Drosophila melanogaster: one gene and its partners. The protein of the gene in region 3 interacts with the protein of the main gene of each other region in a pairwise test. Each region holds a gene or a part of one and is shown on either strand. Other genes may lie near its edges.

Region 1 (8,002 bases), on a different chromosome or scaffold from region 3:
AAAAAGGAAAGCTAGAAAAATAATACAATTATAACCAAAACAAGAGCGCAATAAAGAATATATAAAAATTAAATTCCATAGCGTCATTCCAGACAAAGATCGGCGATACTGTCAACTGGCCGAGAACACTTGAGGCTAGATAACTTTTAGGCTATGGTTTCTTAAGGTTTTGGTTCGCTTCTATGGTCTTTCACGGACATAGCACTTGAAACTCCATGGAGGTGGACAAGTTGAAGGGTGTACGATTCCGGGTGTACACGATATGCCATGGTCAGCAATCTTAAGACTCTGTCTGTTTCGCCGCCCCTAAGTCTTCCGTCTTAGGGTCGTAAATTCGCCGGCAAAGCACCTAAAGCTAGGCGCGGCGGTGCCATCAATTAGGGTATTAATTGCCCGGCTCTGCCGTGGCAAGAGAGCCACCTCGATGAGTCAGTCCTGTGGCCGGGTATCCAGTTTGGAGTCCTCCTCCTCAGCATTAATCTCCTGTAATGTTGATTTCGTGTAGCGCCATTTGTAACGATCGAAACTGGCATAGCCGTCAACTTTTTGAGTGATTAATCACCGCACAGATATTTCGCGACACGCAGCAGTAGCTACTATTAGATACTTTTTGTCTGCCGGTTTTGCTCTTAAGATTTGCCCATGATTTATGCACCGCATGCGTTGCAACAATTAAAATTATCGCCTCAACTCGATTTCCATTCATGGGAGCAGCGGAAAGTTGCCCGTAATTGTGGCATTATAAGCAACTCCGAGGGGATTGTGCATGTTAATGGCCGTCATATATCTGCTTGCTTTATGACTTTAACTATAAACAATTTATGATTCGCTGGGCCAACTTGGCTGGGTGGCCAAGATATGTGGCTAACTTACAGATTGCAGCTCTTCGAAGAAAAGAAAGCAAGGAGTTGGTACGGATTGCCATAGGGGCTTAGCATTAAGCATATAAGCCTAGATTGAATTTTTTAGAATTTAAGTCATGGTTTTCATATACATTTTATTATAAAATGTACTATTTAGCTACTACATCCCTATATATAGTAAAGATATGTTTACAATATTTATCTACACATACATCTCTGCTTACAAAGTATCTGTAATTGACAGGTTGAAAAATATATCAGATTTCTGACCAAGCACTCCAATCACCCAACCACTTCAAACTCAATCTTTTCCTGGCTGGTGACAATTCAGGGGTTTTGCAATATATGCGCCGCACCTGATCCTCGACCACGTGTGCTCCTGCCCTCCACCTCCGCCTCCTCCGGCGGTGTTTATTAGTTACAACACTCGAGAGTGGATTGTGAAGTGTGGAGAACTAGAAGAACTGGAGAAGTGGAAGTGGAGCGCAACAACCGAGCAGTCGAGCTGTCAAAGCGGCCCACATTCGGGCGACTGTTCGTGGGGTCATATAAAGTTTCCGTGCCCATGCCCATGCCCAGTCCCACTTTCCAGGCCCAAGCCCGATCCGATGATATTCTGTTGACGTTGACTAACGTTGCTCGAGTTTATTAGTTTGCCAGAAAAGTGTTTTATGAGTGCAATTAGAAAATGCGCTAGACTAAATTGCACAATTGACAAATAGCAGGGGGCGAGGGTGAGGAGCGCTGAAGGGTGGAAATGGAATCAAATGTGGTGCTGGCTGAACTGTGCCGGCTGGTGGGCCTCTTGACGCCACTCTTCGGAAACCTCGGAACATTGGTGTAACATAGGTGTGTTGGAAAATCGGCCGAGCGCGCAGGCGCAATTTGTATCTCACGGATACTTATCGCAACCGTGGCACCAACACTCGTTGCGTATCTTATCGCATGTGTGTCGATAAGATAACCAATACCAGGCGAGGCGGTACAGAATAAATCATAACGCTGCCACACCGACAGGACCACGCACCCACACAGGTGTGAGGCCGCCCAACCGCAGAGGCGCTGGATCTTCATCGGTGTGGGTAGCTAATTGGGCGGCAAACGCGCCGCAGGCACCGCATTGCGTCGCCGTCGTTGTTGTCATCGCAAGTGAGGTGCTTGGTGCTCAGAGTGCTCAGTGTTTAGTGTATCGAGCCCATAGACCGGAGACCAGTGCCACCACCAGAGCCCAGTTGGTCTCGAAAAAATAGCACTTCGTATCACTGCTAACTGGCAAAGGTTGCGCGCGGGCCACAACCACAATCGCCCCACGGGTGACAGCATTAGATCGCCCCCAAAGCTCCAAAGTTCCTACTTTCCCAAGTTACCAATTTTCGTCAATTTTCGCCAATTTTCCCCACTTGCTCACTTTGCGCGGCACTTTTTCGGGCGCCCAGATTGATAGGAGAAGTGAACCAAACACCTGGACAAGCCGTGCTTGTGATAAATTTTTGAAAACACAACAGAACTGAAATCAAGTGATAAAAACCAATCTTAGATAAAACGCTGGAAGAAACGCAAAGAAGCGGCGTAACTTCAATTTGATGGTCTGCAAAACTATCTCACCGAGTGTAAACATGCAGCTGAAGGTGGGTAAAATAAACTTATAATTATTCAAAAATAGTCAGCGTAATTTTTGGGTATTATATATTAAGTTTGCCAAGTCGGTATTTTCTTTTCAAAACCAATTCCGTTTAAAATCCATATCGGAATGGAGAATATCAACCTGACCGCTTAAAGCAACTATACGTGAACTCTATTAAAAACATTTAAATACCTTTTTGATGCTCATTTACGAGATCTCTATAAGCCTATCTATCATTTCTACTTTGTTGAAAGATCATAAAAGTTTTTAACGTTTTCTCACACAAGTTCATTAAGCTAAATAGACAGGCCATATAGGGTCATTAAAAGCAGATAGTTCAAGTTTATAGATCAGTCGCAAGGCACGAATAAATATTAATTTATTAATTAACGGAGTATAAAGAGCTTTCAAAGGTATTTACAGCTCGAATAGCCATATAGATTTTACATCCTTCGGTGTACCGAGCCAGAAAATGATTTTAGCCCGCAAACGGCAGCGATATGGATTTTTTTCAGTTCTAGCGCCAGGGAAATAAGATAAGACAAATTGATTTATAATGAATGAGTCATCTGGGATGCAGCGGCAAACTGCGACACTTATTTTGGTGTCTGCTCTTGGAAGAAAAACCGAACCGAAACGAACCGAAACCATTAAGAAAACGAGAATGGGTACGAAAACGGGGCAACAAGAAAGCAAGTTAAATGTGGAAAGATGGCTAATCTTTATGAGGTCCAAATTCAGCTGCGATCGAAGGTGGCGTCAAAATACCTTTGACAAAAATAAAATTTGAAACACGCAGCCGACTTTCAACTGCTCGCTCCTCTTCATTCATGAAAAGGGACTGTTTTTACCCATTTTTTGCTGGCCACGGATAATGTGAAATTTATGTCAATCTTATCACCTCGCTTTGGTCCTGCTCCTTATCCCTGTCTCTAGCGTATCCTTCATGGGCTTGGGGTTGGTTTTGTGAATGAATGCCAACCCTTGGCTCATCTGGGGGTACTTTTTATCCTGCCGGAAGTGTCCTTTCGACCAATGGAAGAACAGTCCCTTAACAGTTGCTCAATGGCGGCATCGATAGTTGCAGTTCCAGTTGCAGATACTTTTATTAGACACGCGTCGCCAGTTGACAGTGGATGATGGCTGATAGGAGAGAGGGCGAAGGTTGCGATTGATGGCCCTTTAATAGAGCTGTAAATGCAGCTGGCAGTCGAGAGTCTTATCTCACTTTCATTAGCCAACTGCAGTGAAGTTTAATTAATCGAAGGATCTTCTAACGAGGGCAGATATAAAGGGTATAAATGTATATCCAAAAATGGGTACATTTATTTACTTCCCATTCTTTTGTTAATTATATAGATATTTTGAAAGTGCTCTCACATCTTTAGCCTTTAAGCAGTCTTACCCAAGAAATTGTTCATATTTTTTTATAAGTCTAAAATAAAAAGTAAAACTGGCAAAGAATTTCCTCGAGAAATTTAGAATTTTAACAAAAATAGCATTCATCACAACTGCATTATATTCAAGTTTTATAGTTCTATTCAGTTCTAAATGCCTTAAAATGTTTGGTCAGAGCTGCCTTTGAAATTTGCTCAACCACGAACCCAAGCTCAACGAAAGCGAAACGAGGTGCGATTATATAGTCAATATCTTTTGTTTATATAGATAAAGTACGAAATGTACGTGTGTGTGTGTGTGTGTATGGTTGTGGGTGTGACTGGGCAGATTTCATTCATAAGTTCAGCGGACTCCACACCCTCGCAACGATTCTTGACTAAGCCGAGCAAATAGCGCATGCCATTGCCATTCTCGGGTGACAAACATCGCTTGCACAACTTTTGTAATTCTTGGATATATCTGTCCCTATTGATGACGTAGCCGCAACTGAGAGTGGGTGCGGGCAGTTGGGGGATACCAACCATGACCTCTCAGTCCCAGCAGCAGCAGCAGCAGCTGATTATGTACATTGATAGCGCCCGGATAAGATATTGTCCGTATCGTTCGGCCGTAGTATCTTAACTTTTTCGCGGTACATGGCACGTGCATGGGGGCCTACCTATCGTACTACTACTATATACACACACTCAAAGTCGGGTTTATCTGCATTTCGGGCAGACGATTGTCTGAAGTGACGTTTGCACCACATTATCTCGCACCCTTTCCATCCAGGGAATTCTTTGAACTTTGGCCAAGACGTTGAAAACTTGGCACGGTCATCACCGCCGGCGGAATGCAATCAGTTTCCATGGAACTCTTTCGTCCCCCATTTATATGCCTTCCACATAAGTAATTAAACTTTGTACCTTGGTAAGCGTTAGATTTTTCATTTTTACGGCTTGTCACCAACTGAATCATCATTGAACTTGGCTTGTGTCCACGCAAAAAATGTATCAATCATTTGTGGCACGTCAACCTAAAGTTCTGCGAAAGTGAATCAATTTTCATTAAATGGAAGATAAAGTATTAGTTTTTTCATATAAAGGGAGAGTGGGGATTTTTATGGAATGTATTAAATCAATTCAGCGTGGTGATTATTTTCGGAAAAAAAAAACACCTGTACAAGTATATGGTTATATCTCAGTTAAAAGCAATTATCTTTGCAATATATTTCAATGGCCACAAAAATTTTCCTTTAGTGTTGCTGTGGATTTCCTCAATTGACGGTGGTGATGGTTACACATAAGCACACACATTTTTTGGTATATTTATAGCCATGGTAAAGGTGGAAACCACCTGAAAGCCTCTGAGCTATATGGCACTTGTCATGAGCGGACTGGCGGTAAATTTCAACCTGGCCGCATCGTGAATCAGGTGACAGTGACGATCGAATGTGTTGACACAAGCTCGAGGATGGGAATGGGGATGGGGATGGGTATGGGGCTTTGGAGTGGAAGTGGAAGTGCCACCCCCAACGGAATGAGGTCATAAACCCAAAAGCGACTGACGTATGGCGGGGAAAGCAAAGCGATTTTATGGCCAAGTTTAATTTCCGCCAAAAGCCAAACTAAACCAAAAAAAAAAAAAAAAAAAACCACGAATACACAAGAAAAATGAAAACGAAACCAAGGCACCGCTCTGAGTTTAGGGTTCTGTGAGCAAATACTTCTGCTGGTGGAAATGAAATGGAATAAAAGTGAAAAATGTGTTCGACAATGTTGACACTGAGCAACTGAGTGGTAGAAAGGAGAGGGGTCGCCTCCAAGCCCGTCTCCGTTCGGCTCAGTTTCTGGTACTTTACGGTTGTAGGCGACAAATTGAGCTGTGAGTCGAGCGCGGGCGGTGTCTTTGAAGTCCGTCTCAGCGGTCTTGGTTGGGCTTGCGTCTTGTTGACTTTTGTGGCGGAAACCGAGGCGGGCAGTTCGCACTGCAACGGCCGGAACTGGAGCCACACTTTTGAGACGAGCCGGGCGAAACATGGCATTCAACACTTGTCGCTTGCTCATTGCAGATGGAACAGCAGACAACGCAGCAGCAGCAGCAGCAACAGCAACAGCAACAGCAACAGCAACAATTGCAACAGCAACAGCATCAGGCTCTAACCAAGCAGCAGCTTCAACTGCTGGACAAAATCAAACTCGAGTCCAGCAACGGCGCCGATCAGTTGGCCCAGCAGACGGCCAACAATCTGGATGAGCAGCAGGAGCAGCAGCAACAACACCAACAGCAAGCCGCAACATCGGTGGGCGTGGTGGTGCAGACGGGCCAAGCGGGCGTCAGCGAACCGGAGGAGCAGTACGTGGTGGTGCCACGCAACCAGCGCCGTATTCTCACCACAGCCGGCACACTGTAAGTAACCTCTGGAGACCTTCTTTTCCTAAGAACATAAGCATTCACAAATTTCATTTTTAAACACAATCATCTAATGCAAATGGCAATCGATAGTTACAATTTACCATTGTTATTTAACAGTGTTATTAACAACATTTCAGTGAATTAAACGAAGCTCGTGAAGGAGAACCGAGCACAAACGCCAGCAACGCGAGCTCAGGATCTGCTTCGGATAGCCACATCGAGTACCAGCGCAGTGCACACCAATCTCCCGGAGCCACTCACTACGTGCAGATGGCGCCACGCAACGCAGAGGTGACGGAACAGGTGGGAGCTGCTGCCGGAGCTCCGCCGGGCACCATCTTCGCCTATCCTATTATCTGCAACGGTGACGATGTGGCCGCGATCAAAATCGAAACACTCGAGAAGGGAGAGGCGACGGGGGAGTCGCAACAACAGCAGCAGCAACTGCAGCAACACCAGCATCAGCAGCAACAGCAATGTCCCACACCCAACGGAGCTAGCTACGGCGAGACCATAGTGATCAGCAGCGAGGCGGAGGCACTGCAGCATCACCACCAACAGCAGCAGCAGCACCAGCAGCAGCAGCATCAGCAGCAACACCACCAACACCAGGCGGCAGCTGCAGCATCGGCGGCGGCCCAGACGGTTCACATTGCCACCAGTTCGCATGGTGGAACCGTGCGCTTCGTTACGGAGGATGTACGCTTCACCACCGCCGGACCGGAGACATCCGCCTCGAATATGTACTACGATGTACCCGTGGTGGATGGCAGTGTGCATGCCAACGAGTCCAAGACCTACGCCGACCTAGGCAACGCATATGCCCCCTTCCCGCCCAGCTCCAGCTTCAGTAGCAATAGCTATGCGGCAACGCTTCAGCAGGGAAACACTATTTACAGTGTTCCGGGCACCGGTCAATTCTTGGCCAAGTCCGAGTCTGGCCTAAATCAGACTGGACTGCTGCGCCAGACTGGACCGGCTACTTTTCAGACGATATCTTTTGAGGGCGGCAACGGCATCGAGCCTTTATGGGCATCTCCCGCCCCGCCGGAGTACCAGAGTGTTCAATTTGTAAGTATAATTTAAGTTACTGGTTCTTGAGGCGGTACATACTAACTGTTCTCCCGCATGCTGCACAGAGCAACTTCCATCCGCAGGTTATTGATGAATACGGGAGCGGCAATATGAGCACCTCCCACTGGCCGCCCGCCAGCAGCATAGGGCAGTACGATGGAAGTCTGGTGACCGCCTCGTCCACATCGTCGCCCAACCACGAGCTAAAGTGCGAGAACTGCCATGGGCCGTTCTTGCGGAAGGGTAGCGAGTACTTCTGTCCCAATTGCCCGGCCTTTATGCGGATGGCGCCCCGTATAACCCAGAGGCAGGCGAAGCCCAAGGCCGCCGCCGCCCCCAACAACCGGCGCAACGGGGTCACCTGCGCCAACTGTCAGACCAACTCGACGACCCTGTGGCGTCGCAACAACGAGGGCAATCCGGTGTGCAATGCCTGCGGACTGTACTACAAGCTGCACAACATGAACCGACCGCTGTCGATGAAGAAGGAGGGCATCCAGAAGCGCAAACGGAAGCCTAAGAACAACGGAGGAGCACCCATGCACCGAGCACCGCTGCCGAGTGAGTACACCTGCCAGGGATTACAGTATGCAATAAACTAATCCCAATTCCCAACCAGGCATGTCGCAGGGAGTCAACCTGATGGCCA
Region 2 (4,826 bases), on a different chromosome or scaffold from region 3:
TTACATTTCGCAGGGCACAGTGGCGAAGCTCTGGAAACTGATGCACTATTATTCGCTCGGCGGCGGCTCTTAGGGAGTGTATGCGGAGATGTTGGTAATCCCCCATCCTCAGACGATCGTGATACACCTCCATAGCGTGACAGGAGATCTCACGGGCCTCGTAGCTGAGTTGGCATTCGTTTTTATCTTTGAGTTCACTGCTCAACGGGTACCCATGGACATGCTCCCTGGGATGGGTGGACTGGGTAGTCATCTTCTGGTAGCAACAGCCCACAAAATTGAGGAACTTGGCCTGCGGGCAGCCGAGAAACATGCGCATCAGTGTCGGGCCCAGATTGCCACAGGGATGCAGGCCTATCACACCAAATCGGAAATTGTCGTCTGTTAGCTGCAGGGCCTGCCGAATGCTGGATAGGAACTGCTCTGGCTTAGTGCTGCTCTCCAAGCGATGTGTAAGGTGTACTGGTCGCTGAAAGTGTGTGGTTTCATCCTCTGATAGGTGTTTTGCTGCCATGGACTCCAGCTTTAAATCAATTTCCCTTGCTTGCTGATTGAGATCGGGTTGCATCTCATAGCAGCACACTCGTAGTCCATACCCGTAGCCCAAAACACGTGCTAGGTGACCGACACCAGCCCCAAAGTCGACAATAAAGTCCACAGGAGTTTTTTGTTGACTCAGGGCACAGATTTCGGCCATTCGAATGATTTCATGGTGCTTCTTTGGCTTAACCCGCTTTAGGAACACGTATTTTAGCTTGGGGTGATCAAGAAGTGAGCAAGGAAGGGAGTTCTAAGTGAAGAAAGATATTTTAAACTGATTTTGATACAAATACTGACGGGATTTTACCAACATCAGGCGGGTGCTTTGGTACACGGCTGACGCAGAGTTTCCTAAGCTCCTCTTGCAGGTTCTTCAGATCCAATGGCCATGTCAGCTGGGTATTATGATTCTCATTTTTGAGCAAATCTCCAAGGTTCTCCAGAGGAATGCTTTCTAAGTGCTTTTGCCAATTCCCTGGAAGTTTACTCCAATGATCGTCTATGAAGAAGTCCTATAAATAAGAATTTTATACTCATGAAAGTCTTACAAATAAAAATCGCAATAAAAAAAAGGCGCAAAGCAAAGGAGGCGAAAATACATGATCAACATGAGGTATCCAAGGAACACACGTCGCAGTAGGAAGCCCAATTCTGGTTATATATGGTGCCCATGGAAAAAAGATTCAGGAGGTGTACCAGGAGGTGTATCAATAGGTTTACCCACAACAAAACTTCTCCAGCATTACTCAACGTGCAATCTCAATATTCAATATTAATTTGGATGGAAACACTATAACTTCATTAAGCCGCACGAATATTGTAGACAACAAAGCTAACATTTTAACAAAGCTAACTTACCAGTACATAGGCATCCAACAGCCATTCATATTTCTTTAACAATTCCAAACCTCTTTCGAGTTTTTCTCTTACAATCAACATGTTTAACAAAGAAATAATAAATATTCGTACATCAAAACATTACTATCCTATACGCGTATGTACATCGTTTTTCATAGTCGAGTTTTCAACCATGGGCGGAGTCCGCAATTTCGATAGTCGACTACAAAAGTTAAAAATGGTATGTTGACAACAATAAATTTTTCCTCGATATTATTTTAACTCAGTATATTCAAAAATATAAATATATAAAAATATCAAGTTTTAAATTCTTTTTGGAATTTTGCGGAACTTGAAAACACGGAATAAGTTCACAGTCTCCCGACTATTCGATTGGCATTAAAATCAGCGGTTCACCCGTCATCGATGTTCTTGCAGCCCGCTTTCCCACCTCTATCACCAACGAATTTGCATAAAAAACTTTCAGCGAGCTAAAAGCGCGCACGGCGTTACCGATTCTGGTGCAGTTCGCTAGCTTTTCCGCATTATTTCGTCCTGTGAAATTTAGTTGCCCCTGGCATATGTACCGTGTCCGCTTAAGAGAGCTGGTGAATACGGAAAACGAAGTTCCCTATTATCGACGACGAGCGCTCGAGAAGTCTTTTTTGAACTGCGAATTCAAGTGTTTTGTTTGTTGTCCGCGTCGCTCTTCATGATTATCATGTCTTATTTACCCTTACGAAGGGAAAACCGAAAGTAGAACCCGCAAGCCGCAGAAACTGTAAATTATGTAAAAGTGTATGGCCAACAACAAGTCGTTATGTGCATCAGTATGAGTGCGTGCGTTGAGTGAGCTTATCAGAAAAGTTTAATGGAGGCTGCGCCGGTAATTTCTCCATGTCACCACCCCAGTCTGCAGCAACAACAACTGCACGCGGCGTACAACAAAAGCAACTGTAAATAACCGCTGCCCTTTGATGAGCGCCCCATTAAAAACTGTAAGTCCGACGCACATTGCACATCATTGTCGCATCGTTGTAATATTTGCATGAACGTACACGTGTGCTTCCATACATATGTACGTACATCGCTTTGTTGCACTCACCTTGCCCTCGTCATCTCGCTTTCTGGCCCTGCGCCAAGAAATTAACCCCATCAAGCCGATGGGGTGTCAGCAGGTGCAGTTATTCGTACCCCAGATCAGGGATGCTAAGGTTTCCGAAAACTGATTGTTTTCGTTAAGATCAAAATCGTTGTTTTCCATCTTCTTCGCATTTCAAGAATATAAAGAAATCAAGTGTGCATTACATTTCAGAACAAGTACACTAAAAGAAATTGTAACAAGATATAAAGTAAAAGTGCAATATTTATTTACACGAAAAAGAGAATATATTGTAAAACGAATACATAAGTGTAGTTCAGAATCGTCATTCCCAACTTTTGCATAAATGATAAAATTACATAGTATCAAATTGAACCTGTAAAACTTTCGTACAGGTTTGATACCCAATTAGCATTAAGTTCATACTTTGTGGAGTGTATTCAATTACCAACCATTTGCAATTAACAACCAATGCAAACCAAATCCACTGTAACTCAGTATTTTTGTAAGTTTTGGGACGTTTAAGAGTTCAGAGAGAATAAGAGAATAAGAGTTTATAGGAAGCATTCAGAAAAACAAAACCAAAAAATTTTTCTACATTATATTTGTTTAAAATTCCTCATATTGAAAAATAATAAATCCTCACAAATAAGTGTTTATTCGGAACGAGCAGAATAAATCTTTGTATACTTCAAGTATACTTCGACAGTATAGAATATTTTGAATAATATACGTTTTTGATTAGAATTCCTCATATACAGAAGGATAATACGTCCTCACAAAAAAGAATTAAATTTGAGAGCATGATGAAGAAAACGGACTTTACTTAAAGTAACCAATATCAAACGCACGAAAAATTAACAATTCTAAGGTGCCTGTTTTAATTTTCATTAACAGGAGAACCAATAATGTTAACAACGGGAAACTGCAGCCATAATGATGATGACGGGATAAACAAATAAATGCTCAATAACCTAATTGCGTGGCAAGTCATAGAAGCGAACGATGATGGTCTAGTGCCAAACGCTGTGTAATAGACCAAATTGCCACTCGGCTAAAAGGGAAAGCCAAAAGCCTTCAGACTGGAGGCCTCACTCACGCTGAAGCGCATCTTTGCCCGCAAAATTGGCTACAAGGCGAAGACGAAGTCAATTTTAGCGGCCATGCGCACGAAACACCTGATCCTGATACTGATCGGAGTGATAATCGCCACGATCGTCTTCATCGCATTTGGTCCAGCCGGAGAGCCGAACGATTCATTCAAGAACATCGTTGTCCAGACGCACCAGCAGTTTAAAGAGTTCCAGGTGAGTTGACTCACGTTTGGGGGTCTTGAGTGCCGGGCGGGCCTCTGATACAAAACACTCCGCGCCCCAAGTTATGCTGAATGACTTAGATAAGGGTATTAAATAACAATTATCTGTTCGTATCTGGCGCTGGTGCGTTGAAACTGTCACAGATAAATCGGGAAAACTGAAACCCCAGTGCACCGTTTGTCATTTGTTGTTTCTTTGATTCGAAGCGCTTGAACTTATCGCCGGGGTGTAGCTCGAAAAAAAATGAATGCGAATCTAATTGTTTTACAAGCACGCCAGCCATGATTCATATGTAGATTCCACTATCAGCAGATAGTCAAGTGCCTATGTACACAGACAGCTAGGACAGGACTTTTCTGGCAATTGCTTTTGGCAGCGTCTGGCTATTGACATCACACTTGGCCTTGAACTGCGTTCCGCCCCCCGGCAACAACCACTCGAGTAGCTTATTTTCCGCTCACTCTGTGCTCTTGGTCAAATTAATGCGCGTCCTTCGGGGTGGGCGGGTCGGTTCGAAAGCTAGATACGCCAGGCTGTCTGGCACATTTGGCCAAATCAAACAGCCGGCAGCCAAATGAAAGTCATCAGCATCACTCACATAAGCGTCTGGAAGGCAGAGAGGCAAAGGGGACGGGTGTTGACCAGGGTCGGGTTCATTTCGGAACACTTTTGGCCGTGCTCTGGCAAACAAAAACTCGAGGCCACTGCTGGCTGTGTTTACGTTTCGCCTGCCAGAGCGTTTACTGTTTACACTAATTAGATTCCGGCCGGAGTCCGGTTGCACAGCCCGATGAGCTATTGGGTAACCTGCGGTTAACCACGGCTCCGAGACCACGTCGCTGAAGGATTTCTTGCGTCTAGGGAAAACTTAATAGATTGCATAGCAAGATGGTTATAAATCATCGCTATGCATTTCATGTTTAGCTACGCAAAGAAGGTGTTCTTTTCCCATCACGTACTCATAAAGGCAATTTTAATAGTGCCCAAACGCCGAGTCTCTGCTTCAAAGTTTACAACTGGCTGTTATCTCA
Region 3 (4,655 bases):
CCTCCATTGTGTCAGCTGCATTCACTTCTAATTATTTGACGCGACATTTGCAGTTTGCAGTTTTACGATCCCATACCGAGCATCGAACATCGCGGCAATCAATGAATTTATTTTTTACAGATTTAGAGAGGATTTCTGGAATCTCGGGATTACTCAATCGGCGCGAGCTTAGCGTTCTTTTTAGGGATTACAATTGGGAGTAGCTGTGTGGTATCGAAATTCTTGCGAAAAATTAATAAGAATGGTGTTAGCTGACCTGGAATTTGTGAGGCAGGAATATGTTTAACCAACTATACCTTATTCCAATGAATATATTATATTCCTTTGTGTAAGGAAAAATTATAGTCAGATAGTTTGAAAATAATTGGACAATGATTTCACATTCTAATCTTAGGGTATATTACATGTATAGTTTTATAATTAATGCCACAATATGAATATTTGGAATTTGTTATATTGCCAATATATTATAATAATTAGGCGCGTTTGCAATCTTATGATCACACGCGTGTCTGTCATAAATTATAAATAAATCAATTTATTTATTATTATTCAAATTGCGTTCAATTATTAGTTTTTATGTTAGTGAGGAGGTTTTGTAAATGGGTTTATTGATATTATTAATTCTTTACCGTATTGGGCCAATTTTGCCTTTTGCTTCACGAAATGGGTAACACTTTTGCTAAAGTCGTTATGAAATAATAATCGATATTTCAATTCCACCCATTTGTTAAACTTCCAGCGAAGTTTGATCGAAAATAAGTTCTCATGGGAATTTAAATTGATTAGTCATATTTTTGGTAATGAAGCTGGAAACTTTCGATTTACATTAAATGATAGATCCGTCAAAAGATCACCTCATTTTTAGTACCATCTTTTTTTTTTACATAAGCCCCTTGTATCACATCTTGCACCTTATCAATGCCAGACTTCTTCCGCTATATTTGAGTTCCCTGCGAATTTTTATCGCTGCTTACATGTCAATTATGGCATTAGCTTTACAACTAGAACCGAACAATAGTGCTTTGACAATATCGAGGCGCCCATATAAACAGCGATTGCTTGGCAAACACCAAAAGTCTGGACATCAAGTGTGTGCAGATCAAACACGGTATATGGATATGGAGAATAAAATCCGGAGGATAAAACATTGATTATTCCCCAGATAGAGGTACATATATCGCGACTATTACGACCGTGGCAACATAATTTTACAGCCACTAATTGCATAATACACACGCATCTCCGCAATTACTTAATTAGCCAACGGCAATTGCAATTAAAGTACATACAAATCGAAAGCGGGCCATAAAGGAAAAGGGGTTTTCTTGGCCAAGATATTACGACAAACTGCATACCTGGCTCAATGGGGCGTGGCCACCTGCCTGCCAGCCATCGCAGACCGGTGCGAAAGAGACGGAGCACCAGACAGACGGAGATAGCGGTAGTCAAGCACTCAGGCCATCTTGAATTTCGACCGAGCAACGGAAATGAGGGTTAAAAACGCCCAAGTAAAGGCACTGCTCGTGCGCTAGAAAGAGACAACTAGTGAGTGCCGACTGCGGTGGTTGTTTTTTTTGAGCCTCTCTGCCTGTTTATCTGATTTTCCACTGCTTTGAGTTTTTTATCAGTCGAGTCTTGCTCTACGTTTCAGTACGTGTTCGACCTGCATACTGAGTTGACGTCGCCACGCACGGAATAACATTTCAAATTAGTAGATTAGCCCTGCAAAACAAAAATCCATCTCGTGAGTGAGTGCTGAAAAATAGCGTTTCGAAATATTATCGATATCTCGGTCGTATGTTACTGTGCTCCCAAAAAACACATCACCAGCCAGTGATAACTGTAAAGATTGACAAAGCAAAATATATCCATTATAACCCAAACTGAAACTCCAGAAAATGTGCAACTAAAACATATTGGCCATCAAAGTGATAAGACTTAGAGATTAACGCCGGATTATTGGACACCGGACCGAGCACTGGGACTATCTTCGGAGAAAGCGCACCTAATCTAACCTCAAAATGGTTTCGCACTACTACAACACACTGCCCTACACACAAAAGCACAGTGCCGCCAATTTGGCCTATGCCTCAGCGGCGGGCCAGCCATGGAACTGGACGCCCAACTACCACCACACGCCGCCGAACCACCAGTTCCTGGGCGATGTGGACTCCTCGCATGCCGCCCACCACGCGGCCGCTGCCCACCAGATGTACTACAACTCCCATCACATGTTCCACTCGGCGGCGGCGGCCTCTGCCGGGGAGTGGCACTCACCCGCCTCGAGCACGGCGGATAACTTCGTTCAGAATGTGCCCACGTCGGCCCACCAGCTGATGCAGCAGCACCACCATCATCACGCCCATGCCTCCAGCAGTTCCGCCAGTTCCGGGAGCAGCAGTAGCGGTGGTGCACCGGGTGCGCCCCAGCTCAACGAGACCAACAGCAGCATCGGCGTCGGAGGAGCAGGCGGTGGCGGTGGTGTTGGCGGGGCCACCGATGGAGGACCAGGTTCCGCACCACCCAACCATCAGCAGCACATCGCCGAAGGTCTGCCGTCGCCACCGATTACCGTTTCGGGCTCGGAAATCTCTAGCCCGGGGGCGCCGACTTCTGCCTCGTCGCCGCATCATCACTTGGCACACCATTTGAGTGCCGTCGCCAACAACAACAACAACAACAACAACAACAACAATAGCCCATCCACCCATAACAACAACAACAATAACAATTCGGTGAGCAACAACAACAGGACATCGCCATCGAAGCCGCCATACTTCGACTGGATGAAGAAGCCCGCCTATCCAGCACAACCACAACCAGGTGAGTCCTTAGAGACCCAAGAATATATTAAATACAGATTTAGTGTTTTATGAGGGGGTATGATCGGTTACTTCATAACTTTATGAGTAAGGCTAATAACCTGCTTTTACTGCAAAGTTAAGGTCTATGCTTGCCATTGTCACTAGCTTGTATGAGTTTTTTTTTTTTAATCGAATGTGAAATAAGATCTTACTCACCGAAGGCTTTTAGTCCGAAAGACCTCGATTACCCGAATTTTTGTGTATTCAGCTACTTAGTCATTCCACTGACCTTCGATTCCGCGTACCCTGCGCTTGGGTTTCTCCCGCATCCGCCTGGCTACATTCCGAACCCGAAGATTCCATATTGCCCAGCACATAATGCACTGCATTGTCTTCCCGCCAAGCTCGTGCTGTTCGCGCTTTTCCCTGTCCATCTCTCACGGTACATATATGGGCTTTTATAAGAATCCGTTTGCCTGGCGCGCATCCAAGTCCAAATGGCCAATTAGCTCATAAAAATCAAATTCTGTTCAAGCTTCACTTTTATGATATTCAGTTGGGGTCGCGAGATCCCCGATCCGACGCCTTGATTTATGGCCACCCCGTGTTCACCGTCCACATGAGTGTTTCTGTTTGTTTGCTCCACTCTGTCTCCGTCTCGATTCCGATTCCATTGACTAATTTTGTATCGTAAATCAACTTAACAACTATAAGCATTTGAAAATGGTTTGATCAACTTACCAATAACCAGACAGCATTTGATGGAAAGTCCATCAGAGTAGAGGACTGGACTGTAAAGGCTTAGGAAAGTTAGGGAGTTCGGAACCTATTTCACAGCAATTAGCATTATGTGGAGTGTCTAATTGAAGGTTTCACTATTTTCTAAAAATAGTGAATATTCTGAATAATAAGTGAATAATACCCAATTCGACTCTCTTCTCTCAGTTCATGCAAATTTTCTGTGATTATGTGGATTTCTTGCGTTTTGTTTGCTGTGTTTTCCTACACCTCTGGAAAAACAAGCAAAGGCAATTCAGATGGCAGTGCAGCGATCTCAAACATGAGAAGGAATAAACCACTCACACATTTGTTCACGATTTATGACCCGGGCGCATGTCAAGAAGGGGAAAATGAAGACGACGATATCGACGATATCGACAATAACGCCGATATCCATTAAGCCCATAAAATCTGTTGGCATGCAATTAGCGTTTATGGCCGCTAATCCAGCTGATCAAGCCGACAAGGCGACTCAAGTTTGCCTTATTTATTATTATTCAAAACCCCCTTTAGCCTCCGCTGTCTGAATGTCACCTTTCTGACGCGCGACTGATTGTAATTCTTGCCGTATTTCATTTGCCTAAAAAGCACAAATATTTAAGTAAGAATAAATATTATATAAAAATAAAGTTAGATATTATTTACAGCCACTATGAGCGATCAGCAGCACCTTTTGCCAACACTTTGCTCAGGTATTATCTCTCTGGCATTTTCTTTGAATTGATGGTCTCGCCAAATCGAGTAATAATTAGTAATCTGCCTTTTCCAACAGAAGAGAAGAGGGGGGCTGTGACTAACACTTCGTGATTTTTGATAGAATTATAAAAGGTCCATTTTCCGTTGTCTGCGCGGCATGTGGCGGCATGTGGCGGCAGGGCACGTCGAAGGCCCACTTCAGCTTTCGGGGTGTGGCAATAAAACGGCAACCACGATTGTCGCTGGATGCAGATGCCGTGTACTTTTGTTTCAATGGCTGGTGGTTCGGGCGGGTTTTTCGATTAGATTAGCTAGCGTGGGGAATCAAATAAACGCCCGCCCTGTCAATAAGTCCTGAAAACCCCACCCAAC

What was found. Proteins that work in one complex are often made in the same cells at the same time.
Region 1: the proteins of cad (region 3) and GATAe interact in a two-hybrid assay, tested with the Drosophila melanogaster proteins (one large-scale study listed by BioGRID).
Region 2: the proteins of cad (region 3) and CG14764 interact in a two-hybrid assay, tested with the Drosophila melanogaster proteins (one large-scale study listed by BioGRID).

Annotation. Positions count from the first base shown.
Region 1 is NT_033777.3:16,010,293-16,018,294, forward strand, and holds the start of GATAe (GATAe), read left to right. Parts: upstream 1-1,981; 5' UTR 1,982-2,446; coding exon 2,447-2,491; intron 2,492-5,935; coding exon 5,936-6,273; intron 6,274-6,416; coding exon 6,417-7,350; intron 7,351-7,418; coding exon 7,419-7,914; intron 7,915-7,972; coding exon 7,973-8,002.
Region 2 is NT_033778.4:7,952,862-7,957,687, reverse strand, and holds the start of CG14764 (uncharacterized protein), read left to right. Parts: upstream 1-1,805; 5' UTR 1,806-2,375; intron 2,376-3,210; exon of another isoform or gene 3,211-3,310; intron 3,311-3,376; 5' UTR 3,377-3,642; coding exon 3,643-3,786; intron 3,787-4,826. Other genes in the region: CG2906 (uncharacterized protein), read right to left, coding at 1-790, 852-1,052, 1,399-1,479.
Region 3 is NT_033779.5:20,769,084-20,773,738, forward strand, and holds the start of cad (caudal), read left to right. Parts: upstream 1-1,647; 5' UTR 1,648-2,024; coding exon 2,025-2,826; intron 2,827-4,655. UniProt on the Drosophila melanogaster protein: Caudal (cad) is one of a number of transcription factors controlling segmentation of the embryo.